Linked DNA regions of Oryzias latipes. The protein of the gene in region 1 purifies or fractionates together with the protein of each later gene. This does not show direct contact. Links are inferred from orthologs where the notes say so. Each region holds a gene or a part of one and is shown on either strand. Other genes may lie near its edges.

Evidence for each region.
Region 2: the proteins of smndc1 (region 1) and sf3a3 purify together in Homo sapiens (affinity purification with mass spectrometry; 3 studies listed by BioGRID and IntAct, with this or other methods). This does not show direct contact. The link is inferred for Oryzias latipes from reciprocal best matches to the Homo sapiens genes SMNDC1 and SF3A3.
Region 3: the proteins of smndc1 (region 1) and sf3a1 purify together in Homo sapiens (affinity purification with mass spectrometry; 3 studies listed by BioGRID and IntAct, with this or other methods). This does not show direct contact. The link is inferred for Oryzias latipes from reciprocal best matches to the Homo sapiens genes SMNDC1 and SF3A1.

Annotation. Positions count from the first base shown.
Region 1 is NC_019873.2:19,582,939-19,593,022, reverse strand, and holds smndc1 (survival of motor neuron-related-splicing factor 30), read right to left. Parts: upstream 6,594-10,084; 5' UTR 6,437-6,593; intron 6,128-6,436; 5' UTR 6,121-6,127; coding exon 6,001-6,120; intron 5,562-6,000; coding exon 5,419-5,561; intron 5,094-5,418; coding exon 4,932-5,093; intron 3,777-4,931; coding exon 3,623-3,776; intron 3,531-3,622; coding exon 3,393-3,530; 3' UTR 2,190-3,392; downstream 1-2,189. Other genes in the region: max-interacting protein 1, read left to right, coding at 54-225, 305-468; alpha-2A adrenergic receptor-like, read left to right, coding at 7,656-8,831. UniProt on the Homo sapiens protein: Involved in spliceosome assembly.
Region 2 is NC_019869.2:17,929,239-17,939,208, reverse strand, and holds sf3a3 (splicing factor 3A subunit 3), read right to left. Parts: upstream 6,128-9,970; 5' UTR 5,973-6,127; coding exon 5,877-5,972; intron 5,776-5,876; coding exon 5,728-5,775; intron 5,005-5,727; coding exon 4,952-5,004; intron 4,861-4,951; coding exon 4,755-4,860; intron 4,198-4,754; coding exon 4,125-4,197; intron 3,760-4,124; coding exon 3,668-3,759; intron 3,589-3,667; coding exon 3,506-3,588; intron 3,426-3,505; coding exon 3,287-3,425; intron 3,207-3,286; coding exon 3,138-3,206; intron 3,067-3,137; coding exon 2,999-3,066; intron 2,767-2,998; coding exon 2,659-2,766; intron 2,575-2,658; coding exon 2,505-2,574; intron 2,423-2,504; coding exon 2,258-2,422; intron 2,176-2,257; coding exon 2,065-2,175; intron 1,982-2,064; coding exon 1,891-1,981; intron 1,805-1,890; coding exon 1,749-1,804; intron 1,649-1,748; coding exon 1,571-1,648; 3' UTR 1,407-1,570; downstream 1-1,406. UniProt on the Homo sapiens protein: Component of the 17S U2 SnRNP complex of the spliceosome, a large ribonucleoprotein complex that removes introns from transcribed pre-mRNAs.
Region 3 is NC_019867.2:18,882,713-18,892,723, forward strand, and holds sf3a1 (splicing factor 3A subunit 1), read right to left. Parts: upstream 6,128-10,011; 5' UTR 6,105-6,127; intron 5,994-6,104; 5' UTR 5,952-5,993; coding exon 5,904-5,951; intron 5,412-5,903; coding exon 5,302-5,411; intron 5,220-5,301; coding exon 5,015-5,219; intron 4,941-5,014; coding exon 4,683-4,940; intron 4,599-4,682; coding exon 4,524-4,598; intron 4,459-4,523; coding exon 4,308-4,458; intron 4,228-4,307; coding exon 4,031-4,227; intron 3,927-4,030; coding exon 3,809-3,926; intron 3,705-3,808; coding exon 3,397-3,704; intron 3,262-3,396; coding exon 3,016-3,261; intron 2,818-3,015; coding exon 2,619-2,817; intron 2,508-2,618; coding exon 2,353-2,507; intron 1,987-2,352; coding exon 1,885-1,986; intron 1,797-1,884; coding exon 1,725-1,796; intron 1,648-1,724; coding exon 1,546-1,647; 3' UTR 1,300-1,545; downstream 1-1,299. Other genes in the region: ccdc157 (coiled-coil domain-containing protein 157), read left to right, coding at 6,128-6,492, 6,630-6,780, 6,869-7,556, 7,640-7,717, 7,825-7,994, 8,133-8,309, 8,423-8,585, 8,705-8,844 and 1 more. UniProt on the Homo sapiens protein: Component of the 17S U2 SnRNP complex of the spliceosome, a large ribonucleoprotein complex that removes introns from transcribed pre-mRNAs.

The sequences.
Region 1 (10,084 bases):
ATCAGAGAAGTTATTCTTGGAAATTGTAAAAGTCTTCTTTGGCTCTGTTTCAGAAACTTGAAGAGACTGACCGTAGAAGTCAGCACCAACTGGAGACACTGGAGAGGGAACAGAGGCACCTGCAGAGACAACTTGCTCTGCTGCAGACTCATGGGGAGCGGGAGAGGGTTCGCACCGACAGCCTGGGCTCCCGCATGGACTCTGATCGCTCCGAGTCGGACAGAGGTTAGCCTCCCAACACACAGACTTGCTCACATAGACTTTTGAAAGTTGAACTCATTTCCACTGTTTATTTTTTTGGCAGAAGATATAGAAGTTGATGTGGAAAGCACCGAGTTCTCCCATGGAGAAATGGACAGCATTAGCACCAGTGGTGCAAGCGACCTGGATGACCACAGCAGCCTGCAGAGCTCAGCCAGCGATGAAGGCTACTCCACATGTAGTCTAAAGCTGGCCTTCTCTGCTTAAAGCACCAGCTGATTACCCCCCTACTCCAATCTCTGGCGGCTTTCACTTTCAAAGTTCCAGCGTAAAGCCCCTCCCCAAATTTCAGTCAGCTCTTTTGGACACATGGAAACCTTCCCCCAAGAAGCCGCCTTAAGATCAGTCTGAAAGTCCAACTAGTGTCCCCTCCTAAAGCCGACAGGCTTTACTACATTTCCCATGACCACCGTAAAATCTATGGCAATACTCAAGATTCCTATTTTTAAAAGTTAACCCAATCACCAAAAAACGTCCCTTTACCCGACACAAACCAACACCTGGCTTTAACGTTTCAGTGGAGGGCCCATCACTGCACCAGTGTCAAACACTGAAGGGTCAACTCTGCGTTTAATCATCTTTGGAAACCAGCAAAACAAACAAACTAATACCAGCTAGAAGCTCCACATCGGGAACTTTTGCTCCATTTTGCCTTTTTAAAAACAAAGCCCTTTTTTCACTGGATGAGAAATCCAGACAGCACTTCTTGTTGATGCACATGCCAGCAAGGGCTATGATGTCTGCATTCCAAAACCTGCTCTTTCTGCTTACAGACCCCAAGCATCACCTCGCCTCTTCTTCAATGAACATATTCTATTATGACGGGTAGTGTAGTCCATGTAGGTCTAATTTATTTAGCCTATTTATTTTTTTTGAAGAATTATACTCTTGGCTGTGCTTAAACAGCCATTCCCCCCCCCAATTTTACTTGAAAGTGTGTACCAAACTTTCCCTGATTTGATCCCCGTTGAAGCATGACGCAGTGCTGGGACTTTCATCCATTCCTCTGTGTGACGTTTAGTTGAATGCTTTCTCTGTGGGCAAATTAGACAGTAAGAAGCCATCTTGTTTTTCTCACCCAAGCACAAAGCTCAAGCAATAACGTTTCCAGTTTGATCTTCTTTGTGGCGTTGGCTGGGTTGTAGTCGATTATTCTGTCCATCCAACTCCAACAGCTGCTGTGGTAGAGTAGTACGCAGCTACTAATAATCATTAAAAAAGACTTGTCATTGAGTACAATTGCTATGGTGCATGTTTATGAATGTATCCTTTCCAATCATGTTTTAATGAGCTTTGGATTGACAACTCTTAATGTAGATAGCATGAACGACAAACTATGGAAAACTGCTTTTGGGTATACATCAGTGTTTAATAGTGGATGTTTTTTTTTTTGTATTGTAGCAGACAGAAATATGGATTCTTACATTTCTTACAGAAGATTCTGTCTCTTTTCCACACAGTTGCACTGCTGACCTAATCAAATCCATAAAACCAAATTTAGATGTTCAAGTCTGATCGCTCCTTCTGATCCAGGTCATATGGAGATCGCCACCAAATTGTGTCTTAACACGGGGATCGATTCTTGCACAAAGTTTTCTCTTTTTGGAGAGGTCCTTCACACCCGACTACATTCAGATGAACAGTACCCGCGCCGCGGAAAACTTTGCTATGGAAGTAAATGCAGAGACAAAATGGTTTCTTGTTCCGAAAATGCTCCATTCAAAGTGATTTCTGTGTTAAAAAATATGCTGCTGATCCTTACTAATACTTTGTTACGATTCCTTATACTTATTCCTGAAATCTTAATAAACCTCTACACACAAATAACGTTTCTTCTTGCATGGAGGTAATGGTTTCTTAAAGAATTACTTGTCTTTCACAGATTTTCTTGTTTACGCTCAGAGAAAACAACCATCACAACAAACATGTTGACATGATTATTAATTTAAGATATTCTGCAGTTCTGTATTAAATTTTTCACATTTTTCAATGAACTCAGTACAACTGAGTATTAGAGCCACCAGGAAAGAGAAATCAACGAATATAAGAATAAAGTTGTAAAATTGAGAAAATGTCAAACTTTTACTTGATTTAGTTGTGAAATTGAGAAAAGTCTTAATTTTACAAGAACATTTGCAAATTATGAGAAAAAGTGAAAATTTTTACCAGAATTAAAAAAATACTTATTTTTTTTACAAGATGAAGTCATAATATTGTGAGTAAAGTCAAAATTTTACAAGAATGCAGTCTTACAACCGTGAACAAAAATTCATAATTTATAAGTTGTTTATCTATACATCAAAAAGTTGTCATTTTGAAATCAAAGTCATGCAATTTCAAAAATAAAACATTACATTCAGCTTTTAAAATAAATCAATAAAGAAAGCATTACCTGTTTTACTGATGTTGTCGAGAACATTGATGACATCACACTACTGAAAAATCTTTAAATCTGCTTTACTTTGGAACTTTATTTAAAAGAAAAAAACATACCTTTACCCTTGTAAAATTACAACTTTTTGATCCTAAATTTATAATTTTATTTATGTTGAATTTTTTATCATAATTAAACTTTTATGGTTAATCTAACACTCTGTCGTATTTGAGTCTTTACTGCCACCTACAGGACAAACACAACAACATCAGAGCAGAAAATGGGAGATGGCGAATTTTTAAAAACCAAAAACAAATCCTTTATTTCACTGTTATGTATATACATATGTTTAAATGCATCTGGAGCACTTTCAAATCAACACCATAATCTAAATTCAGATTTCTAAACTTTTGGACTAGACAAACGTACACCTCAAATCTAGACATGTATGGCTTTACGGGTCTCAGGGGCGGAGCCTTTTGCTGTAGTCGAACAACAAAAATCTACAGCCTCTTAATGACAGCCTGTTTTTACCACAGCGGACTGCAATCCAGTGCCGGAAAACCTCCCTCCTACTGATTGTTGTTGGACTTACACAATACAATAAGGAAAGAAAAATTCCACAATTATTCAAACACTGGTGTGCAAGCAACTCCTTTGAAAGCTTTCTTTACTTGAGAGTTTAATATCACGTATAAACACAATGGAAAGCACGGATTCAGCTCATATTATAGCAAATTATGTACAGAATGTGAAATCACTGGGGCATTAAATGCCTGACGTTGTACTTTGACGTGTCATTGTACTGGGTCATCGGTTTGTCTGCTATACCACAAGTTCCCACTCCCACCTTTCCGTTTACGCTTTCCGGGGAAGCAAATATGCTTCTTTTGACCTGTAAGACACGAAAAGGCACGATGAGTGATTAAAATTGAAAGCATTTCATGGCTTCAGGCCTGTTTAAATGCACCAATGCATCAATTCTACCTGTCCTTTTTTGTTCTTCGAGTATGCTTTGTTGTTGAACTGTTGCCATTTGGATTTTTGCTCTTCCCTCTCCTGCTCCAACTCCTTCATCCTTTGGACCTTTTTCTGGGCTTTTTTCTTTTTATATTCCCGTTGCTCTGCTATCATCTCTTTCCTAGAAATACGCACAAACGAAGAAACAGCTGGTCAAAACTGTGCAAACACAATACAACATTTTTCAGCAGATCACACAGACAAAAAGAAATAGAGATATTCACTGATTGGGACTTCCAGAAGCAATAATGCTTTCATAAACGTCTATAACTGACAGCAAGTGTCTTGTGTTTTATCTGAACTCAAACAAAAACCTACAAAAGCATTTCAACAGAAAAAATATCTAGTTTTTGTTTCTATTAATGAGAATGGCTCACTCTGTAAGAGACTGCCTACAAAGTACAAACTCTTGAAGACACGGTGGTTATAAAAATATATAAATTCACTCACATCGAACTCAAAAATGGTAACATTGATATAAGCTATTCATTCATAATCATATTTATGCTAAAACAAAGATTGGAGCAGAAAGACATTTTTATTAAAGATTTTTTATAGAGATGTGAATCACAAATGATCAAAAATGTTTAATAGCTTTGACGATAATGAAGATAGTCACTAAATGTTCTCACTGGATTAATTATTACCTATTTTACTAGTCAATAGTTAAGTGCTTTTTGTAGTTGATAGTTGCACTTTTTTTGCTCGCTTGTTCATGGAAGTGCACTGTTTAAATGTTACACAGAGCACTTGGAATCAGCCGATACTCAAAATCAAATGCCAAAAAAAAAACACCTGATCATTACATCCCTAGATCTAACTGTAAACTGATTAAAACATGCTGAGAAAACAAAGGACTAGAGAGAGGCATATTTCAAAAAGAAAAAATGTAATCTTTCCCCATTTCTGCCTATAGGTGATTCGTTTTTATATGAAATCATAACATAAAAACCTGAAAACATTCAAATGTTTTGGATTCTTGCCATTATGGTATTGACGCTAAAGATGCAGGCATCTATAATGGCTGTCTGACGTGGGGTGGTGGGCTCTAATGTGGTTTGCATACACAGTGGATTCATGTCTGTTATTATATAAAGAAAATACAAATTTTCTATGAACATCCGTAATGATTTTGTTGTATTTATCAACCACGTCTTAAAGTTTAGTCTATGAAAATATTATCCCCCATCAATAGCCCTCTGTGGTTGCATACTAGCGACACATGCAAAAGCTTGTGATTGGCAACTGGCGAGTGTTAATTTGGGTCTCCTCTTACTTGGACTTTGCCTTTGCACCTCCATCGTCAATAGAGAGCATTCCCTCCTCCAAGGCCTTGATGTTCTGCAGAGGAACCACTTCAGCGTTTCCATATCCGATGAAGTTTATGGCTGCAGTTCCGTTCTCTCGGTCTATCTCCTCAATTTCCGCTTCATACACCCTGCAAAAAAATCCCGTCTGTAAGCAGGTGAGTAGGAACCAAAAACTCAGGATTACTATTCTCAAAACTATTAAATCCAAACAGTTTTACAAGAGGATAAGTGATACTTTAGTTCAAAACAGGTCTATCATGTGGAAGTCCATCACCTAATATTCCTAATACTTAATACCCTTAAGTGTCAACCATCATCACTGTATATAAAAAAAACAATCAACTCTTTGAACTACGTTTCCACTGAAAAGCAAAAAAAAGATAAGGAATATCCTAGATATTTCTTAAAGGCATGCATTGCTATAAAAATAATTAAGGAGGAGGTGACACTCACTGTCCATCATTACCCCACAAAGCCATACATCGATCTCCCACTTTCCAGGTATGCTTTTTGGGAGGTTTTTCTGTACTGGTGGTAGTTGAGGTTCCATCAGTGGGCTGTGAGCTCAGCAGATCTTTTGTAAGTTCAATAACCTCCTGAAAAAGAAAAAGAGAGATTTTCATAGATGAGTACTTTATGAAAAGACACTTGTAACATTTTCAGACTTTTTTTAAAGGGTTGCAGACTATGCATATTTATAGGGTAAAAGATGTAAACCTAAAACTAATAATAATACAAAACAAACAAATGAATCAATAATTGAAAATGGTCCATTTGCAACAAGTACATCATTTGATACTATTCATATTTTTAACTTCCTTTCAAAGCCTGTTTAAATGTCTAACTTTCAGTCAATGAAATTAAACGTATTAATCAATATTACGTAAAAGATTACTTTGATCAAGTATAATAAATTTATATTTAAAGGAATAAATGAACACAATACATCTTCCTTGGCTTTCAAAATTAGCCTCGCATTTTGTTTTACTATGGATAACAAGATAAATTTAAGGAGAAAAAACAGCAATCACAAACCCGTAAGTCCTTCTGAAGCTTTTGAAGGTCTTCATTTTCAGTGTCGGTAGACAAAGCAAATTCGACTTGCTGGAGCTGAGCTTTGTAGCTGTTCAACTGTTTCACCAGGTCCTCAGACATCTGAGCGCTAACAAAACAAACAGCATCGTGCAGCATAAACTAGCCACTTAGCATTTGTTCGACGTTTCGGCTAAATTTACAATACGAAACACAAATTAAGAGAAAACAGGAGGGTGTATATAATATTCCACTAGCGCAGTGTTTCTATGGTCCCCCCAAAAACAGAAATACAATGTGTATCATGTGTCAACAACGTCAACCATAGCACGTCGCTAAGTGGGTTATCAAGGTCTCTTGGCCTAGTCGTGAGGCTACAATTACCATTACAAGCAAAATGCTAGCGTAATGACAAAAATGCAACTGGAAACAAACTTACTTTGGTAAGGGAGTTATCTGTAGACAAACGCGCTGATAATTAAGCTATTTATTGTTTGCTAACTACCTTAAATAATTATTATGATAAAGATAAGTTCTTCTTTCAGCGGCACAAAACTGACCGGAAACAAGCGGAAAATTTCTTCGCGAGATTTCCTTGCTTCAGACCGAGCCTTAAGAGACTCAATACTGCCCCCTGTCGGCCAGGAAGGGCACTTTCACTCTGCGCCCTAAATGGGTTTTTGCATTGTAAATATTTTAAAACAAGCAACTTTCTTGCGCAGACTGAAGTAGTAGGATATTACTACGTTTTTCACATTACTTAATAAAAGTCACGTGATTTGTTTGAAAGCCTTAAAATTATTATTTCAAAATAAAAATAGTGAATCTGTTTAAATGGTAACAGTTTGTTTTTTAGTTGTTTTTTTTCACCATCCATAACCATTATATTTTTTAATCATAAAAGTTTACAAAGGCGAGGATTTCTAAAACCAACCTCTGAAATTCAGCATAAAAATAAACGACAATCTCACAAGTGTTGTATGATGATCCTCATTTCCCCTTCCATGAATTCATAAAACAATCTTTTCACAAATCTTGCTTTCAAGGGATAAGAAGAAATAATATTGCAAAGGCAGAGTGCGGATGTACCGCTATAATCTTAAAACAATGAGATATTAAGTTTATAAATCATAAAAAAGAATAAATGTCATAATCCGCCAATGGCTGTAGCGTCAGAGCAATACAAAGCGTCCTTTAAATCTACACCAGATAAACTCCGCCCATCCTATTTCTCACTGAAGTAGAGGGAGCATCAAAGATTTCCAGCTTCAGAGGAGGATAATATGAGAGACATTCCTTCTCTTTTGCAGAAGAAAAGAAGACCAACCAGAGCCAACCTGCAACTGATGGAGTTTTTTTTGCGATGAAATATATTTAAAGATTTAAAATAAATTATTATTTGAGGTAGGTGAATCGGGATTTATTTGTCCAAATGAGTGTTTCAACTTTCCGAATGCATTTTTTTTTCAGTTGATTTTTTTTTCACTCTTAGGTAGAAGAATGAGAGATTTGTGCAGGAAGCTCTTCCATAGGAAAAAACTCAATTCTCCAACATTGCCATCTTGAATGGATTTAACAAAGAGTCAGCTGCAAAGCGCCCTCTTTGATCCCTTTGACAAGGAAATCTTCAGATATTCTCGACGCCCCAGCGTGTCTTGATGGGTTGTCTCAACCTCACTGGTGGAAATGAGACTTTTCTTGGGAAGCACCCTTTCAGCGTGCAGATCTCAGTGTCGCTCACATTTTTGGTTTGTATGCTCATCCTGCTAACAGTGTTTGGCAATGTGATGGTGGTCATTGCGGTTATCACATGCCGAGCTCTGAAGGCGCCACAGAACTTGTTTTTAGTGTCTCTGGCATGCGCAGACATTCTGGTTGCCACCTTAGTTATGCCATTCTCCTTAGCCAATGAATTGATGGGCTATTGGTACTTTGGTAAAGTGTGGTGTGAAATCCACTCTGCTCTTGATGTGCTCTTCTGTACGTCATCAATCATCCACCTGTGTGCAATAAGCCTGGACAGGTACTGGTCTGTCACTAAGGCCATTAAGTATAATTTAAAAAGGACTCAACGAATGATTAAATGCACTATTGGTTTGGTTTGGGTCATTGCAGCCATTATTTCATTCCCTCCACTTATAACTATGAAGAAGAACAGGGGAGAAGCAAACAGCCCTGTTTGCAAAATAAATGAGGAGAAATGGTACATTTTGTTCTCCAGCATTGCATCTTTCTTTGCACCCTGTGTCATTATGATTATGGTGTATGTAAAGATTTACCAGATTGTCATTAGGAGAACCAGAGCTCCACCAGGAGAGAAGCAAGTAAAGAATGGCAACTCCCCACAAACAAAAGACAGAAATGTGGATGATTTAAACGACGTGAAAAGTCAGGGGATTAATGGACTTGACATGGATGAGGAACCATCCTCATCAGATGGGAACGAAACCTGCCTACGCTCTCTGAGCAGAAAAATCGATGTGAGGAAGACCGACGTGACTGAAGCGAAGCCAGGAGAAGCCTCTCCAAAAGCAGAGGCACTGTCTCCCTTGAGAGTGAGCAGGTGGAAAGGGAGGCAGTACAGAGAAAGACGCTTCACCTTTGTTCTGGCTGTGGTCATGGGAGTGTTTGTTCTCTGCTGGTTCCCCTTTTTCTTCACATACACACTTACAGCTGTGTGTGACATCTGCTGCGTCCCAGAGACACTGTTCAAAATGTTCTTTTGGTTTGGTTACTGCAATAGCTCATTAAATCCTGTCATTTACACAATATTTAATGATGATTTCAGGAAGTCTTTTAAAAGAATTCTTTGTAAAAAAGACTTAAGTTTTTAGATAATATTCTTTATACCATTTAATGCTATATTTGGCTAATGTTCCTTTAAAACTATAGTTTGTTTTTACTTTTTCATGGCTAAAATGATGGTATTGTGAAAGCTTGCAATGTTAGATTTTAATATTTTAATGTCACGTTATGTTCATTTTTTCTATTTGTATTATCTGCAAGGTGAAGATTTTATTTTGCAGTTCAACAGTCTTTATGACAAAGGAGTCTTACATCAATAAAATCGATGTGAACATTTTGATAATGAAAGACAAAAGAGCCTCATATTGCAAAGAAATGCCATGCTAGTTCCCCTATGCTGGCTCTAACACACATTTTATACCGTTTTGAAAGGAGAATAATTCTTGTGTTGATTGTGCAATATGCTAAATTAACAGATAACCGCCCCTTATGTCACTTATTTGTAAATTAGCACGGATGTCAGTGTGATAATGTGCCCAATAATCTGCTTTCACTCCAAGCCTAGGACAGAAAATTCAATTTTGCAAAATAACAATTTCCTAATTGCTGTTGGATATTATAAAAAAAGACTGGATACAATTAGAAATGTCTTTTGCTTTTGCTCAAAGCAACATCAATAAAGGTACTTATCTTGAGTCACTTAACCTATTCATAACAAAACATTACTACCAAATCAAGTCATTTTACAAGTTTTTTTGGTTTTAAATGTAGAAATGTAATCTGGTTTGTTCAGCATTTGTGTCATTTGAAAACCAATAATTTTATTTTTTAATTTTTCTTGAGCTGTACTTCAAGTATTGCTGGTTTGATACTTAATGATACTTATTAAATTATTAAATTATTCATCCATCCATCCATCCATCCATCCATCCATCCATCCATCCATCCATCCATCCAACCATCCATCCATCCTAATTAAAAATACATAAAACATCAAATAAAAACACAACTCTGAAAAAAGTGGTCATCTCAAATGCAAACTTCTAATTTTTAATGAAGTGTCTAGAGGGAGTACTGGATGAAAAATAGACTTTTGGCTATCTCTAGTACAGCGATGCTTTTTAATATGCAATGTCCCTGTCAAATAAACGAATAAATAAAAAGGATTTACCATTATCACATAGTTAACAAGATCCACAGGCAGCAATATTTACCACACAAAAAAGATGATACCATCTTATAACAAAGACAAGAACAAAACAATTACATGAAAAGAAAATGATGCCTGGGAGGCAGGTTTGCACACTAACATTGAACAATGTTTATCATGAATTATTGCCAC
Region 2 (9,970 bases), on another chromosome or scaffold:
AAAGGAAGTCTAACTCCATGATTGTTCTTGCTGTAATTTTCTAAGTGAATATATAGTATGTCTGTTTACATTCCTGTGTGGGATTTTTTTTCTAACAGTTTGCTCTGCAGGAACCATAAAAGAAAAAAGCTTCAGGCTCCTCCCCCTCTGGGATGGTCCTACAGACTTGCCTGATATAGGCAGGAACAGGGGCGATTCCAGGATTTTTGTTCTTTCGGGAGGCTTTATCATTTTATTTTGACCGGCAGAGCATACAGGTCACTCTGGCAACATGTTTCCATGGTTCCTCCTTCTTTCCATCACCTCCTTGGAAGCGGCGGTCCATCTGACGTACAAACTTGCCTTAAAGCTCATCTCACTGTTTTTATGAGATTGTGTGAATCCATGCTTTTGAAAGAAGCTCCATGATTTTCCTGTGTCAAACCAACATTTTCAAATACATCCTTCTTTAAATTCGACCAAACAAGTCTACAAGCAAGGAAGAATTCAGCAATATCCCAACAATTCAGAACTTTGGAACCAGTGATGCTGGAATCTTTTGAGTTACTAACTCATGAAACGGTTTTAGGTGTGTAAGACCTGGATCCTTGTGGCCTAAATCACAGCACATCAGCAGAGGGAGATGCTTGCTCTTTAGTCTGCTGAAGAATAACAGAATTACAAAACATTAATCTCGATATGTTTACTGAGAAAACATTGACTAAATACTTTCTTAAATATACAGTTAGGTGTTTTATCTTCAGTGTTGATCTCATGTGGACTTTTACTACTTTTTAAGAGTCTGAATCTGTTTTTTCTTAAAAACTGAAGGCTTTGGCATTTTCCACTGGTCCCTTGAAAGTTGCCTCTGCAAGCGCATATAGACCCCGTCTATAAAGGCATAAAAAAAAAGAAAAAGACTATTAACTAAAAATAGCTCCTTAGTTAAACAACTGAAGCTATTTCAGCTGGACAGGTTGACAACTATAGGAAAAACATTTAGACTGTAAAGACTGTATAGCTAAAAAAAAAAAATCGGGATAAATACCACCTGCTGATTTACAATGTATTTAAATTATACAAAAAAACAGATAAAAGAAAGACAGATTTAAAAGGAGACAAAGAACCAGAAGTTCTTCTTTAATCTGAGAACTCAGAAACCTTTCAGCTCAACAGCTAAAATACCTAATCTGTCATAACTCCACCCGTGCGGCTAGGAATCTTCTTTTTAGACATCAGTGTCCGTTTTTACAGTTATGAGCTGAAACATGTCAGAAAATATGACTTCTGCTGCATTTATTTTCCCTAAGGATAAAAACTGTCAATGAAGCTCTGAAATGTCATCAATTGGATTCTATATAAGGATTCTAGTAGAAGTGTTTCTCCCAGATGAGGGTCAGTGTGCTGCACAAACTCAGACAATCAGATCTGTGTAAAAAGTCTTCAGTTTATTGTTCACAGATTGACATGTTAGAAAGGTTTATGAGGAAAAAACTCAAGCTGGAAAACATTCTACTGACTAAAACAGGAAACTTTAAGCAGTTATGATTTAAAAAAAAAAGTCATCATGGAGATTCTCCTTCCTGAGTAACTACAGCAAGCCCTGCCGCTTCAGATCTTCATAGGTCTTCTTGTTGACCACATTTCCGCTGGAGTCCTCGTACTCCTCCTGTCAGTCCAGATGGGGGGGAAGATGAGAAGTGAGCCCTCACATGTCCACATCACATGTCCACATCATGTTCTCAACAGTTTTCTGGAGGAAACCTCACCTCTGTGTCTGGCTGCCAGCGCTCCAGAGCCTTCTGGGACTTCAGCTTGGCCCACACTGCAACATCCCACAAACATCAGAGGTGACACGCCCCCCCCTCGCAACAAGCACACACATCAAAACCCATCAAGCGGGACACTCACGGGAGACTGCGTCCTCGATCTGTGTGACGTTAGCGAAGTGAGCCGTGTTGGGGATCCCCAGGCAGCGCATGCCGTGAGCGTGCCTCCACTCCTGCAACACAAGACGGGTTTTTTTCCACACCTGACCCCCACACGCGTTTAAACGCACACCCCACATTGACAACGAACACCTACTGCAAAGTGCCTCTGGAAGGCTTTGGGTCCCCTGTAGGTGTAGTTTCCACAAATCTCACAGTTGTAGTTGATGTTCAGACCATGGAGCTTATAGAGCCAGTATGGGATCGGCTGGAGAGGAGAAGATCACAAGAGGAAGCTTCCGATGACTGAAGCTGAGAGCTCGTCACAGAATGATTCGGGTGGCTTTTACCTTTCCATCCCAGCCCAGGGGCAGATTCTTGGGGTTGTAGATGATCTCGTTATCCTCATCTTCGCTCTCGCTCTCACTGAGCTGCTCCTCCTCCTCTTCCTCACGCTCCTCCCCTGTCCTGGCCTGCTTCCGTTGCACGTTCTCGTGTGTCAGCTGCCTCTGCTCCTGTGAAGGACAAGCGAGGCGGCGGCTATAACTTCCGAGGTCACAGCTGCACCAGAAGCCAGTCCACCAGCTCCACACTCACCCCGAGGATCTCCACAAGCTCGTACACCTGGGCCTCCAGAAATGCGATTTCCTTGTTGCGCTCAGTGTCTCTGAGGGGGAGGAGGGGAATATCAATAGAGACGTTAACAAAACACCATCAAATTTAGACTGGATACCTTTTTAAAACTGCTTACTTTTTGGGGCCTTTGGCTTTTGGATTCTTGGCAAACAGAGATGGATCGAGCGACTCCAGAGATTTGCCTTTGGTGCTGAAGAGTCTCTGCGCTCTCTCCTCCAGAGTCCTGGAGCAAACAACATCATGCTGGTTTTTCCTCACGCCCATCAGGCCACAGCAGAAATGTCCAACAAACCCCAGGGTTTTATCACTATTTAAGTTCAACTGCTGGACAGGTAAACTCTGACGTCACCCAGAGGACATTTAGTTTTAACAGGACAACCAAAGAGGTTAAGGCTTTGAAATTGGCTGATTGGTCTCCTATAGTAAAAGACCAATCAGAGCTGAGCAGCACTCACCCTCCACACTTCAGCTCCAGAGCCATCAGAGCAGACTTCAACCTGTCCAACCCCAAAGAGGCCAACTCCTGAGAAACAGAGAAACGCATTAAACAGGAAAGACAACCGCATCAATCAGTCATGCATGAACGCTGTGTACCTCCCAGGATGAAAAGGCAGACAGGTCCAGATGAGCTCCAGCGTGTGTCAAAGCGCTGCTCGTTTCTTTCTGCATCAGAAACGTTTATGTTCAACGTTTCTTAAATCTGAGATCGTGTTCAAACGTTTGGACAAATGAGGAGAACTTACAGGCCAGCCTGGAAAGGTCCCGTTGTCCCATTTTTTCTCAAAGTCGGTCAACACTTTGCCGTAGAGGTCGTTCTGGTCCAGCAGGGGTTTGACCCTGTCGGTGTAGTCCTGCAGGTACTCCAGCAGCATCTCCAAGTATCTGCACAGCCGGCAGCATTTTCCACCTTAATGCTTCGCGTGCGGAAAAACAGCGGAACTTTCGCCGGAACAAACACTTACTTTCTGTACTCAGCATTTTTCCGGTCCTTGGAGATGTCAAACAGTTGATCGAAGGAAGACAGGTATGTGATGTAATCCAGTTTCTGAGAACCACAGGGCAGTTAGAAAGTGCACCTTCATGTGAATCTGGACACGGATCAAGCAGATCTGATGGATCCTGACCTCAGACCCCTTCAGGTTGATGTACTTCAGGTAACAGTCATGGAGGTCCAGGTAGCGGCCGTATCCCTCCTCATCCGTGAACTCCACCATGTCTGAGGCAGACAAAAATCTGGGTCAAACCAGACTCAAACTATTCTGCTCGATTTTTCTAAAACTAAAACAAAGGCTTTAAAATTAAATCCATAAACACTTTAGACCAAATATATATATATATATATTTTTTATCTACAATACAAAAAAAAGACTTAAAGCCGGCTAGTTGCCGGCTTGTGAAGGGAATTCCTACATTTAAGCCCCCCCCCCCAAAAAAAAATGAATTTAGGATCTAGCTCACCAAAGGTGGAAAAACTAAAACAGATGTGTACTTTGAGAAAGAACTCTTGTTTGTTAATAAGAGTTAATGTTTGTAAAAGAGAAGAACAAGATAAAGAATGCTTTGGAGGTGGATCCGACTTACTCTGAGCTTCCTCACTGAGATTTTCACTGGCTTTCATCAACTCGTCAAACTCTGCAGACATGGGGATGGAAATCTACAAGGAAAACATGTTAAAAAACGGTTTAATGAAGGTCACATGACCATCAACAATTCCACATGGATTATGGCCATTACTAAAACACCAAGTGTCCTTCTGCTGACATTTTCTGCAAAACAATCCTGTGATGCACAAAAAGGTTTCCTCCACAACTTTCAGTCGCTCCAAAGAGAGCAGTTCCCCTCAAGCTCTGCAGAATGAGCAACATTCCGGCACAGAATGTGTCGGTCTATTAAACACACATTTGACATACTGAGGGCTTTGTGTTGCGCTTCTGACTGATAATCCAATAATGTCCATACCCCAGAACAGGAAAAGTATTTTTTGATACCTAAGTGGCCGAGTCTATTTCTTTACCTTTCAGTTGTTCCCTACAGTGGGTACCACAGGGAATCATCTTATGATTCCCAGGATGGCCTTCCTAACACAATTCCTAACACAATAACTAACACACTCTATAGTTTAAATCTTTTCCTGATATGAAGCAGCGTTTATAAATAACTCCATCTGTCAAACCACACAAAGCAGTGCTGTTACAACTCTGGATTCTGTACCTCATTGGGGTGCTTCCTGTGAAACTCCTTTATGTGTTTGAGTCTGTTGTAGAACTCAGCAAACTCATTTGGTCCAGAGATGGCAGCGAGCTCGTCTCTCCTCATGCTGCCAAAAGAAAAGAAGAAGAAAAAAAACAGCTGCAGTAAAGAAAAAGAAAAGATTCAGACCTGTGGGTTCTTAAGACTACAACACTCACCCATCTTTGTCTTCATAGGAGTCTCGCAGGTTTGCACTGACATCCATGTATCTCTGACGAAACACATTTAGACACAAGCATTCTTGAATAATTCCATTTTTTTAAAGTGCTATCATCAAAATAAACATCTCAACTTCTTTTGTCATTTTAGTTTCAAAGTCTTAATTATGACGGCCTGTTATTGTTATATTTGTACAACCTTTCTTCATTTAAAGCTACTACAGCTATGCTTTCAGTAGTTTATATTGCATCTCATTTAGATAATACTACTTGTAAAATACATACAAACAAAATGTCCAGATCTGAGAGACAGACAGGTCTAGTTTTGTGAATGGCTTTGAAGGTAAACTCAAAATTTTTAAGTTCAAACCGGAAAATGGAAGTCAATGGAGCTGCTGGATGAATGGAAGCAGCAACACCTACCTGTGTGTCTCCTTATTCTATTTGGACAAATGAGTTCATAATCGGAGTAAAAAACACTTATTCCTTCTCATCATCATGTGTCCTTCTTCTGACTCCACTATATACTTTTTCGCTTTGAGTTGTCTATAGTAGGAAATATAGTAAAATTTTCACTTGTCTCAACAGCTTATGGATGATTGGTCGTCTTTAAGATAGCTCATCTTAAGTTAAGAAGGCAATGTTTCAATGTCTATTTTAAAACTATCTGTAGCTTTTGAACTAATACTATGCTCTAAGCATTGTAGCGGTGGCGTAAGCCTGCCGCTGTGTTAGCATCAACAAAACGTTGTTTTTTTTTTTTAAATTCTACTTACATCGAGCATGGCTCTAATCCGATGGTCGGAATTAATCTGATCCCGAAGCTGAAACAACAAATAACACATTACAACCATTAATTTTCTGTTTTAGGAGGATAACGTCGTGGCACGTAATGCCAACGTTAGCCTGCAGCGGCTAAGCTCACCGTTGACTTTTTCTGTAACATTTCTTTGGTTTTGGCGTCCATGAGCCGCTCCTTCTCTTCGTGATAGCGGCGCTGTTGTTCCAAAATAGTCTCCATGTTTCGGGAATATCTCGTAGTTTGATTGCCTGTTTTCTTCTTGTCTTTTACGCTAAATGAAACCAAAAAAAAGCTACTACGTTTGTTTCTATTGAAGCATTCTAACGTACGCCGGGGTCCGTCACCAGATAAGTTTCTGAAGAAACACCCCCCAGTAAAACGGTTCCGCTTTGATAACCGCTTCCCTAACAGACATACACTAAACTATTACTTTAAATAAAAATACTCAAAGCTTGGTTTGCAAAATTACTTTTAGATCGTGGAATCTCATTAATATAAAATATTTTTGGTTTTGTCACTTTTTTTTAAGGAATGTTGTTTTTAAACTAGACTGGAAGTGTAAATGTTTTGCCTGGAAAAAATGCACTTCATTGCATTGTTCGTGTTTTATAATGTTGTATATGAGCAAGAAATGCAGATTCTCGTTGTTTTTGACAGTTAGAGGCAAATATACATTTGAAAATATGAATTTAAGACTTTCAAGCTAGAAAGACCCACCTTAGAGAGGAGGTGGTGATGCTTCAGAGTATAGCTCTAACAGAGGATGAAGAACAAGAAGTTTAAGTCCTGCATTCCCACAGTCATCAATGAAAATGTGAGGTTTGTGCAAATTACATGGATGAAGTGAAAGTGTTCATCAGGACATAGGGAGAGAGCAGAGAATTCGGTATAATGTGTTTCACAAGGACATGGGTCATCACCAATCCCAATTTCCGGATAGCTTCAACTGACAAAGACACTACCTCCATCGGCAAGGGGGGAGCAAGGGGATCTCGCCTTGCCCAGGGTGTCACTTGGGGGACATCTTTGTGAGTCCTCCCAAAATCAAGGGAGCTGGCTCGGCCCTGGGCTACAAACTGGCTACTATTGAGGAAGTCTGAATCAGAAGGAGGCTGGTAAAACTGACATCTATCATGGATAATCCCTCCTAACCCGTCATCATGCTGTTAAATCTCTCAGTAACATATTCAGTATCAGACTGTGACACCCTTGTTGTAGGTAAAAGTGCCATCATCCACCCTCTCCAAAACCATTATGATGTGCAGAACAACACTGCACAAATTGCGTTGTAGAGTACACTCATTCTGCATTTCAATATTTTACAAATGTTTTAGCCCATGCAATATTTTAAGCCACGCAATGTAAAGACCAATAGCATTTTTTTTGCAGCCGCTCAACACCTTCTGTTTGTTTTTTATTCATTAGCAGTTGTTGATTGGATGCTTTTACTCCTGGATGCTCTGCTTCCACAGGAGACGCAGCGATCAATCATTCAGAGATCGGAAAGTGATTGCTGTCTCTGACTGGCGCCACAGTGTTCTGATTTTACTCCGTGTTTTCCTCCTGTCTGTCCTGACTTTAACCCTTTATAATCTGTTGGGTCTTCAACAGATTCAACAGTGCTGCAAGGACACTAACGGACACACAGAGATAATTTCTTCTTCTTCTCAGAATATCTACCACAAACTATCAGTACTTAATCCTCTCTCATCCTAAACACAGGAACGCTTCGAGGCAGTGTCCTTGCCCCTCTTCTTTATTCATTAGTTACACAAGACTGAACCACAACTGATCATTTAAACACCATTGTCAAGTTCCACCACACAGCTGTGGTAGGACAAAAACTAATTAAGCTGCCAACAAACTAAAAGTTCAGCATCGTGTGCTTAAAAAACTGGATTTAAACGTTTGAAAAACAAAAGATTTAATGATTGACTTCCAGAAACACAGATGTGAAACACCCCCACCCAGGACACAATCTGTTCACATCACAATCCTCTTGAAAAGACATTTATGAAAACTAGAATAAACAGAATAAACAAAAGTTGTCATTCCTTCTCTGTGTGTATCTGATTCTGCCTCTGATGAACCTAAAATATTGTCACTAATTATGCCACACAGATATTTTAATGGCTCATATTGTGTTCCGTTATTGCTGGGTTATTGCTGTCTTTTTTCTTCTTTTTTAATTTTATTTTTTATCATATTTAACCTTTTTCATCTATTATCTACCTTTTACTGCTCATGCATGAGCAAACTACCAAACTGAATTTGTTTTTTTGAACAACTTTGACAATATAATTTATTGTGAATTTATTTTAAATAATCTAGTTAAAAATAATTTAATCCAATCTAGCCACAGGGGTTGCAAGCCAGTTGCCTCTGTGCCGGTCCCAAGCCCGGATAAATAGAGAGGGTTGCGTCAGGAAGGGCATCCGGCGTAAAAATTGCCAAAATAACCATGCGAATCATCCACACCACTTTAGACATACCGGATCGGTCGAGGCCCGGGTTAACAACGACCGCCACCGATGCTGTTAACCTACAGGGTGTCGGTGGAAATTTGACTACTGTTGGTCGAAGAAAGAGGGGAGGCAGAAGGGCCCGTGGCCAGAGAGAGAAGGGAAAAGGCAGGAACATAGGTTTGAGAATAGGGACTCTTAACGTTGGCACAATGACAGGGAAAGGCAGAGAGCTGGCAGACATGATGGAGAGAAGGAAGGTAGATGTACTGTGTGTGCAGGAGACAAGGTGGAAGGGCAGCAAGGCACGTAGTATTGGAGGAGGATACAAACTGTTCTATCATGGTGTTGATAGGAAGAGAAACGGGGTAGGAGTGATTCTGAAGGGGGAGTTTGTAAACAGTGTTCTAGAGGTGAAAAGAGTCTCAGACAGGATGATGAGCCTAAAGTTAGAAATTGAAGGGGTGATGGTGAATGTAGTCAGTGGGTATGCGCCACAGGTTGGCTGTGAGTTAGAAGTGAAGGAGAGATTCTGGAGTGAGTTGGATGAGGTCATACAGAGTCTCCCCAGAGGAGAGAGAGTTGTTATTGGAGCAGACTTTAATGGGCATGTTGGTGAGGGCAATAGAGGTGATGAGGAGGTGATGGGCAGGTTTGGTGTGAAGGAAAGGAATCTGGAGGGACAGATGGTGGTGGACTTTGCGAAGAGGATGGAAATGGCTGTAGTCAACACTTACTTCCAGAAGAGAGAGGAACATAGAGTGACATACAGAAGTGGAGGTAGGAGTACCCAGGTGGACTACATCCTATGTAGACGAGGTCATTTGAGAGAGGTTATTGACTGCAAAGTGGTGGTAGGAGAGAGTGTAGCCAGACAGCACCGCATGGTGGTGTGTAAGATGACTCTGGAGGTCAGGAAGAAGAAGAGAGGGAAAACAGAAAAGAAGACCAAGTGGTGGAAGCTACAGAATGAAGAAACTTGTGAGGAATTTAGGCAGAAGTTGAGACAGGGTCTGGGTGGTCAGGATGAGCTTCCAGATGACTGGGAAACTACAGCAGAAATTATCAGGGAAACAGGTAGGAAGGTGCTAGGTGTGTCATCTGGAAAGAGGAAAGACGGTAAAGAGACTTGGTGGTGGAATGAGGAAGTACAGGAATGCGTCCAGAGGAAGAGGTTGGCTAAAAAGAAGTGGGATGTAGAAAGGACTGAGGAAGGTAGACAGGAGTACAAGGAAGCGCAGCGTAGAGTGAAGAGAGAGGTGGCAAAGGCCAAACAGAAAGCTTACGATGAGCTATATGACAGGTTAGACACAAAGGAAGGAGAGAAGGACTTGTACAGGCTAGCCAGACAGAGAGACAGAGATGGGAAGGACGTGCAACAGATAAGGGTGATTAAGGACAGAGATGTAAAGGTGCTAACAACCCAGGAGAGTGTACAGAAAAGATGGAAGGAGTATTTTGAGGAGCTGATGAACGTGGAAAATGACAGGGAAAGAAGGGAGGAAGATGTGGTTTTTGTGGAGCAGGAAGTAGCAGAGATTGGAAAGGATGAGGTTAGGAAGGCTCTGAAAAGGATGAAGAGCGGAAAGGCCGTTGGTCCTGATGACGTTCCTGTGGAGGTATGGAAGTGCTTAGGAGAGGCAGCAGTGGAATTTCTAACGAGGTTGTTCAATAGGATTATAGAGAGTGAGAAGATGCCTGAGGAATGGAGGAGAAGCGTTCTGGTTCCGATCTTTAAGAACAAGGGTGACACGC
Region 3 (10,011 bases), on another chromosome or scaffold:
TAATTTTCAGCTGCTAACGTATTTAGCTTGAATCGCTCCTAGTACTGACACTATAAAAAACTACTCGTGAGTAAACCTACCACAAACACGCTAACTGTCCACAGTCATGGGAGTTCGCATAGACCAGCACTAGCATGCAGTATGAGGCTTTGAGCCAAAAGTTAGGTAAACCTTCAACTAAATTTGGCTTGATGCGCCCGTCCTAAAACGATTTGTGTGGCAGGCAGTCATCGTTTTCTGCGACTCTAGATGGCGCTGTTGCTTCTCAACAGCTTTACTGACGCACAAAGAAGAGTAGGCGACGTAAAATATGGAACTTAAGTTGAGTATTAACCTTTTATTTAAAAAAAATATATTCTAAGATGTAAAAGGTCTAAATCACTGTTTCTCTAATTTATTTCACAACAACTTGTATTTTTTTCCGGTGAAACATTTCAGTGAAATTCACCATCTAATGTTAGAATTCTCAGTTTATATTTAGTAAATAGTTAGGGGCGCAGCTAACCTTGAATTTAAAACACCAGCTTCTTTCATCTTAAATTCTCTTTTTTAACTGTTGTGTTTTGTTTATGTCCTTAAGTTACAATTCTAATGTAATTTATTTTTTGCTTCTTTGTATCTTATTCTTTTCAAGTTATGTTTAAAAAACCTAACTTGTTTCTTTTCTTCTTTTTTTAAAATCAAGCAGCTTAATAATTACATTATTATATAGAGCATCCACAAAGATCCTTATTACATACTTTTAAAAAAGTACCAGATAGATACATAATTGTGAAAATTAACCATTTCATTACAAACCTATCAATAGTACAACAGCCCCAGAAATATTTAGAAGTTTCCTAGGAGGAAAGGATATAAAGATTTTTTCCCCTCCAAGCATAAATTTAGAGGAACAAAGATAATATTCAGCTTCAAATGTGAAAATTATCCAAGATATTAAACCCACCTGATTCAGAATCAAATGCAGGTTCTTGAATTTCATGCTAGTTATAATTTTTTCACAACACCTTTTTCAGTAAAACTTGTTTTCATGTTAAAAAATAATATTCATTCAAAAATTTAGTTAAAAACATTTGTTTTGTGTAGCAAATTGAAATTAAATAAAAACACCAAAGTGAAACTTTTCCAACATTTCAAAGCTTGCTGTACAAATTATTGTATGTTAGCTGTATCTGCATAAATAAGAACTAAAGCTCCCTATTTAAAATATTGTTTTAATTTGAGCATCACATGGACTAGAAACTTGTGTATTGAATGCACTGTTAAAAACTAAAATAAAATGCAAAAAAAAGCTACAAATGTCATTTTAAATTTTATTTCAATGGGTGAGACATACATGGTGTTCCCCAAATAGTAACTCAAATGTTATTTAAAAACAAATTATAAGATGAACCAAATTTTGAGTCAATTCTATACAGGAGCATGACTTTACACAGATATCCAAGACTAATCATTTCAAAATTTACGCTGAAACAAAAACTAATCAACAAAATTAAACTGAAAAACACAAACGACACTTTTTGTTTTGTTTTTTGAAGTAACAGTTCATTTCTTTCTTCCACCTCTTTCTTTCAGAGCCAGATGAATGATTGAACCATTCATCATGTTGTAGTAAGCCAGAGAGTTGGAATCTTTGATGAAAATTCCCTATAAAAACAAAAATAATTAGTAATAATGAATGAAGTGAAATTACAGCATGCACAAATGTTAAATGAACTACTCACCTCGTATTGTAGCTTTTGTTTTCCTGCTGGCATGCCTGTGGCTTCATGGATTTTGACTTTAATTACAGACACCTATGAAGATATTTCAGTTGCAGCATTTATGAATGAGACACTGGCTGTAACAAAAAATAAAAATAAAAATAAATCTGCACAGCCCTACCTGGTCTGTGAGAGGAACAGTGAAATTCAAAATCTGCCCATTCAGCTTCCATTCAGTCTTGTCTTGCATGTTGGGGACCTGAACCTTTACAGCCACAGGACCCTGGAGATTAGAAAATTGATAAGTTAGATTACATAGATAGAAAGATAAAACACAGAGAGAGAGATGGATAGCTTTGATGTCACAGTTTAACAAAACTAGTAAAAGGAATTAGCTAACAGGATTAAAAGGAATTAACGAGAAAGTTAAAAATCCCCATTTATATTTGTTCAGTTTAAATAAATAATTATGCAAATGGTGGGGGAAAAAAATTGGTGAACCTTTGATTTCAATAATTATTCTGTTAACATTTAATAAAGCCTTGTGCACCAAATTTTGCTTTTTGAACAGTATAATAAATAAGCCAGCGGAGTTTGTTGGTTAGAAATTCAGCCCAGGGTATTTCTGCAATTCGTCATCTCAGCAGACCTTGTTTCTACGAAGGAACTCCTCCTCTGGCATGAGGTTATCCTCCGTTTTCATCTTCTTGCTGGATGGCTCGTCTTCATGCGGTGGGGGTGGATGGTGGGGGGGAGCTGGAGCAGCGCTTGGAGGTTGAGGCATTGGAGGAGCGGGAACAAATGCTAAGAAAGAAAGAAAAAAGATTATGGCAATAAAAACATAAATAAAAGAATGTGGTTCTAATGCAGCCTGACACAAAAAAAACACTCTAGGTGTGAAACTGCTCATCCTACCTGTAGGAACAACCATGGGAGGTGGTCTGGGGGCCATGACATGAGGTGCAGACGGTGGCATAGGAACAACGTTGATGCGTGGGCCAGGAATCATGGGAGGCATTGATGTGAGAACTTGGCCTGGGGTAATGCGCACCACAGGAGGCCTTGGAAGCACCGGCACAGCAGACAGAAGAGTGGTCCGCACCGGAGGGGCCATCTGTTTGCCATCAAAAGAGAAAAACAAGTTCCAGGAAAGGGAAGGTAAAGTTTAGTTATCAAGCAGTGAAACAGAGAAGAAAGTCTAGGTCAAGGAATTCAAAAATATGTTTGTGCCTCAATTGCCCAGAGATCTGTTTGTGCACAGAAAGCTACATTAACGCAACACAAACTTAAGTCCTTTCAGACGGACACTTACAGAAACAGGGGGTCGAGGCACAGATGAGACTGGGGGGCTGGGTTTGGGTAAGTTGACTGCAGAAGAGGGCATGGGAGGCTGATGATTTTCACTTGGCTTGTTTGGACCAATCTTCTCTTTAGTGTCATCCTCTCCAACCAGGCCTTTGGCCTTATGAATAGCTTCGATCTGCTCCTGTAGAGTGATGTTGGCCTGCGCTGCCTGCTGGGTGCGAGCCATGCTTCCAGAGTGGCCATCCCAGGTAACCTGGACACGTCACAAGAATCCAAAAAGTTCAGACAAAAGTTGAACGCGTATTCACAAAAAATCTATCAGGTTGATAAAAAAACGAGTTCAAATGATGCTTTTCACAAAAACCATGCTACTTTCTACGGAACTCACCTTCTCCTCTGGCTTCTGGATTTCCTCTTCACCAATCTTCTTACCAATGGCTGTCTCTTCAACACCAAAGATATCAGTACGCCTCTCAGCGAGCTGCTTCAAGCTGCTCTCGATATCCAGACCAGGAGCATAGACTTCATCCTCTGTCTGTCTATCCCTGATGCTGCGGTCTCTTTGTTCCAGCCAGCGTGGGTCCAGCAGACCAATGCGCATGTGCTCCTGCATCTTGCTGGCTGGGATCTTCTCACCAGTGATTGGTGAAATGAGGTACTCATCTGGAGCTGCAACTGAGGGCATAGGCTTGGAGGCTGTGAAAAAAAAAAAAAAAAAAGGAAACAAGTTTTAATGCACCGCTTGTTTTATTTGCTTGTTTTTATACTTCATAATATTTCAATCACAGAAAAAAATGTACCTTTGGGATCATAGTCTTTTCGAATGATGACGTGGTCTGGAGTCGGGGGCAGAGGAGGTGGCATGGGGTTGTCAGGTGGAAGTGGAGCTTTAATTCCATCGTCCTCATCATCTGATCCCTGGAGAAGTAGCATTTTAAATTTGTGAATTTGCTACACAAGTAACCAAGAAACCTAGACAAGTGTTGGACTTTGTATAAATGTAGTAAATGATAACTGTTTACCTCATCCATGTCCTGCACTTGTGTGTCTTGGTCAGGCTGTGAGGGTTGACCTCCGGCTCGTTTCTCCCGTTCATCCTCTTCATCCTCACTCTCAACTTCCATCTCCACCTCCTCACTTTCTCCATACTTCTCATAGCGCTCCTGGATGAGGATTCGAGCACCAAGCTCCTCTGGAGTGGTAGGTGGGGGGAAGTGGCCTTGGAAAAACACCAAATGAATAAATTAATAACTATGGTTCTTGCAACATCTGGACCTGGTGTTCCTATAGTCATGCTACCTTGTTCATTGGGCTGGAAGTCCACAGTCTCCACCACGACAAAGTCATGCCAGTCAATTTGAGCATAGGCTACGCGTTCCTTCTCTCGCTCCTCTTCCTCCTTCTTTCTCTCACGCTCCTGGTACTTTGCCCACTCAACACGGTATCTCACCTGATGTTTGTAACAAGACAGTTTTAAACATAGAAAATAATCTTCTGAAGGCTAAAATAAATTACCTGGTCCATAACCTCCTTTGGATTCTCAGCCTCTCTCTTTAGTTTGGCCAGCAGACCCTTTGGGGGGATCAGAATCTAAAGGTTGAGGCAACATTTAAAAAAGTTCAATAACACAGTTTCAATAAAAAAACAAAGAAAGCTGTAATTTTTGTCCTTTACCTTGGTATATTGTTCCACCAGTTTTGTGAAGTAGTTGAAAAGGCTGTGCTGGGGTCTCAAAAAGTCAAATTGGTAGTTCCTCTGTTCTTTTTGCATGAGCTGGGTGAGAAACTGACGGCCGTTTCGTGCAACAAACTGGGCAGTGAGCTTCACAACATCAAGATCGAATGCAGAGATTGATGGAGGATCAGCTATGAATTCAAACTCTGGAGGCGGTTCTTTGGGGACCACAGTTTCCTGAATCACCTGGGACTGCACCTGATGAAGAAAAGGCAAGTTTGTATAAATATAAACCCTTGTAGGTCCGGGCACAGTAAATAGACAGTCCTTACTTTTTGTGGAAGCTGCTGAGATTGCTGCATAGCCTGCTGCATAACCTTGGGCACTGCGGCGGACGGTTCTTGAGCTTTGCCCTCCTTAAACTCATTGACTTTGTGGCGGTAGTAAGCATGGTAGGGATCGTTGGGGTTGAGGAAATTAAATTTTGGATTGTTGATCTCATTCTGACGGATTCTTGCTTCAAACTCAGGCCCATTCCTGTAAAGTGACAAGTATAGAGTCAAACTACAGATAGCAAACACCTCTTACAGCTGTACGTGACAGTTCTTTGGCAACCAACCTGGCAACAAAGCTCGCAGTCTTGTCAACTATATTACGGACCTCAGGAGGAGGATATATGATGCCAACAATAGGTTTAGTGGCTGGAGTTTCCTCCGGAGGTGTATCATTCTGACAAGAGAAGGTTCAAAGTAAGAATATTTATATTTAAAAATAACATCAAGTACAGTGAAGTTCCTCCTTAAAAATATTATTACACAAACATTATCAATTCACTTATTAATTAATAAGACTTACTTTAGGTAATTCTAAGATACACTGCAACAATTTAAACATTAAACCACTCGATCATTAAAAACCTGAGAATACAACTAACACATTTAGTCTAAACCATATGCAAAGATACCAAATATTGAAGTGCAATCATAGTTTAAGTAATATCTGTTACCTAATTTTATTGACTTTCTCAACTTGGGAATTTTTAGGGCCACACATATAGACGCAAACGTTGCCCCATATGTTTTACAGCTTTATAAACATTAGCATTTAATTTTGGACAGGCTTAGAAAGCTTTGCATAAAGGGGGCGAATTTTATAAGGCGATAAATCATTAAGAAAAGCGACGGATATCTGAGGCTAATGTTAGCTAGTTAGCGTCCTTACCTTGTTGTTAGGCTCAGGCTGAACCATTTGAACAGGCCCGGGCGGCATGGCTGCGTCTTTTTAACGAATCACCAATTTTACCTGAAAACACTAAAGCAACACACATATATTTTGAAATGAATTCTTTAAAAAAAATTCTGTAAGTCAAAAAGTAATAGCTAATACAGCTATAATTCTTTATTTGTCGACGTTAATACTCACCGCGTCTCGTTTTCGTTAACGCAATGGCGGCCAATTACTTCCGGAAATATCCGCTAAGAACTGTGGGACTTGGAGTTAACTGTTGCCAAGGAGACCTCACGTCAACAAGTACTTATAGGCGCCAAATAAGCGTTTTAGACATGAGTTTGTTGTTGGGTCGTCAGGATTCTATCAAGAATCTAAGAAAAGACCTCATCGATATTCAGGGTGCGGTTCTGGACGTGCTCTCCAGAACAGGACCAGTCTGCGCTTCCTCCTGGAAATTCCCGGACAAACTTTCCTGTCATCTAGACATTGTTGCTTTGTTGGAGGAATATGACTTCGTGGCAGGAGAAGATGACTTCAATCAGCATTCCCACATTATTCTCCTGGAATTGATGATTGACAGGTAACCTAATGTTGTATTGCATGTAAAATATATATATATATATATATATATATATATATATATATATATATATATATATATATATATATATATAATGACTTTAAAAGCATCTCTGCATGTTCTTGTTCCCCAACAAGGCTCCTGTTTCTTCTTCAAAGCGTCAGCGTTTATGCTGAACAACAGATGGGGGTCCACAGACCAGAAGGAGCTGCACACAGAGGCAGCATGTCAGTTGGTCTTGTGGTCAGGAATTATTGGGGGGATTTACTTCAATTTGCAGATAAAAAGGTAAAGAAACCTCTTTTTCTAGTAATGCCACAGGGATAAAAACACATGCAAAAGTATTTGACTTTAAATGCCTTTTATGTCTTTTTAGGAACTCTTCAAAAACATTGCAGAAAAGACAAATTCAGTGGAATCTGATGAGTCAAACGTCGAGTCCCCTCTCAATAGATCCAGCACAAGTTGCTCCAGGCATTCTTCCATATCCTGGTCTTCCACAAGCTCATTTAAATTCCTCCCACAAAATAACATCACCATCAGTTCCCCCGAACAAACCTCATTCCATCCTAAAACTGCCTCCCATAATGTCAGCTGCCAGACTGCACAAACGTCCCTCATCCCTTGTGGTACATGTCACCAAGTGCAATCTCTTTTGAGAAAAACTGGAGAATCTTTGATAGATCTGTTTCAAAGTGAAGGTCTACCCTCATCTCTGCAGCCTCTCTCAGCAGTTGTGGATGAGACAGTGAGGGTGGGACATCTGACTCCAGGTGATGTTGCACAGTGGGCCAATGAACAGCTCAGAGACATGCGCAGGCTGGCAAAACACCTGCAGGATGTGAGGGGAACGGTACTGCCCCTCCAAGACAGAGTAGCAGCAGCTGAAACGGATCGTGAGGCCATCAGATCTCAACTAAAAACAGTGCAGAAGGATTTTGAACAACAACTAGAAAAACAGCAAACAAATATAGAACAACTGGAGTTTTCACTGCAGGAAGCACAGAGAAGCGCAAAGCAAACTGAACAAAAGCAACAGGAGGAGCATAAACAGCTTAAAAAAGGTATTAATCACATTAACCAGCACAATAAAAACAAGTTAGGATCATGTTTAAACTTTTTTGTTTTTTCAATTTCTTTAAAACAGAAATCCATTCTTCAGAGGAGACCAATGCTAGACTTAGGGAGAAGGTAGCATTGCAGCAAGACACCATACACACTCTAGGTAAAATAGCCTAACTTCATTTGTTTTTATCATTTTCATAGCAAAAAAACGTTTTTTTCATAAAATTGCTGTGTTACTACATAACAAATCTTTGTCCTCCTTCTTAGAAAGTGAAAATAATTTTCTGCAAGTGAAAGTAAAAAAACTACAAACAGACCAGGAGGCATGTTGTCAACAGCAGCAAAGGATCCATCAGCTTGAGGAACAACTCTCTGACATTCAGCTGCTGCTTGATAAGGAGAGGGCCAAATACCAGAGTGCTTGCCGTCAGCAAGAGGTCTGTGTCTCAAAAAGAAAAGAAAAATCTATAACTACATGTTAAATCAGCTTGAGATGTTGAAACCTCAAATCGGTACCCGTTAAGAAGAAATCTGAATATAGATTTTGATGTTTTCTTGCTTTATTTTGTGTCTAGTCAACACAGGTAAAGCAGAAATCTTTGCTAAAGAGGGTTGAAGATCTTGATGAAGAGTGTGAAGAGCTGAAGAAGCAGCTGGTGGACAGCGAGGAGGCCCAAATGAAGTTAGACAATGAACTGCAACAGATGTCAGACGAGAAGAAACAACTGCAGGTTCAGACTGCTCAACAGCAGGTAGAATAAAATCAAATCAAATCAAACTAGAACATTCTCAATTTACAGGTTTGCCCACAAAGATAGTTTTGTCCTGTATTTAGAGACACTTGCTGTGTGTTTTTGCACTTCAGGACCTGTGTGGGGAGCTACAAAAGAAGAAACAGAGGTTAGAAATGCGCGAAGAGGAGTTGAAACAGCAGCTGCATGAACTGATGGATCGTGTTCGCGCTTTAAGAGACAGAGAGAGAATTTTGGTGGCGTTCCCAGAGCTCCACAACTGGGCCCAACCACAGAGTAGGCCATTATTGACTATTACATGCATTTGTTAACATTTGAATAAAAAATGTAGTTTTCAATGTTAATTTACTATGTTAAATCTAAACTTTTAGACTGTATGAATCTTTGTTCATTAGCAACAGGAAATGTCCTTTTGGACATGGAGAAGCAGCTGCAGGCTAACAGCATTCGTGTAAACATACTGGAGCAGGAGAACGCCACACTGCAAAAAAGCCTCCAGAAACTACGGAAAGCTGCACAACACAATGGCAGAAGTGTAAGTACAATAATAAGGTGGGGTTGGATATGTTAGATACCCTGAAATGAATCAATATGGGAAGAAGTATGGTACATGCTGTTGGCTGTAGTAGCTAAATTCTAATCTGTGACACTGTTTTCTGAACAATATTAAGTTGATTTTTTTCTTCTAACAGAAGTCTTCCCCTCAATGTGATGCAAACCAAACGACAAACAAAATCTCCTGACAGGAACAGAAGAATGAATTTCAAGTGTGTTATTCCCAACATTAAGCATGTCTTACATGTGGTTCAATAAACTGCTGTGCTTCTATCAGTGTCTTTGTTTTCTGTGCTCCACAGGCAGTGCAGCAGCACGGCTCACATGACATGCAGTTATAAAGAAGAAGGAGCCAGATGCACAGAACGTGGTCCTCACTGAACTGTGTCGAAGGATCGTATCGTGTGTCTGCCTTTCCTTTGTTGCTGCAAAATCAGCTTTAGAGCTTCCACTTCGCCACAGACTCTGCTACTGCTTAGTCATACATCAAAAACACCCCTTCACTCTCTGCAAATATTTGACTCAAGAAGTCTCATCTTGCAACTGTGTGTTTTAAGGGTGTATTCATTCAGGCTGGAATAGTCCTTTGGTCCAGACCAAGCCCACTTAATTTGGTCTGTTTCGAGTACTGACCCTTGCATTTGGTTTGTATTCCGACTGCCGTCAAGCAGACTTTCCTGTTTTGAACCAAAGCTTGTAAACAAAACCATGTGACTAAAGATCTCTTCAGTCTTCAGGAATTAAGAGGGGGCAAAGCAACAAGAGCAAGAATAATGGAAGTCCTGCCCTTTGCAATCCTTGTCGGGATGGTTAAATTTTTTAAACTTCATATTTTGCTGACCAATTTTGAACGTCTGTATCAACGTCATGTACAACACTTTTTACTTTGGTACGGTGGAGGTTGCTGAGGAGGCGACGGCTAAGAAGAAACACTGATAAGTGTTCATGACATATGGATTGTTGGGAATACTGTGTAAGAAGCAATGTGTATAACGTTAAAAGTTGTTTTAATTAGCCTGCATTCATTCGACCAAATTTCAATGAGTTGCTGTGTCTCATCGTTGCTTCATGTTTGTCTGTGGCTTATGTTGCTACGTTTCTACTATTTTTACATCCCATAATGTTGGGCTATGATGGCGTTTTGGTT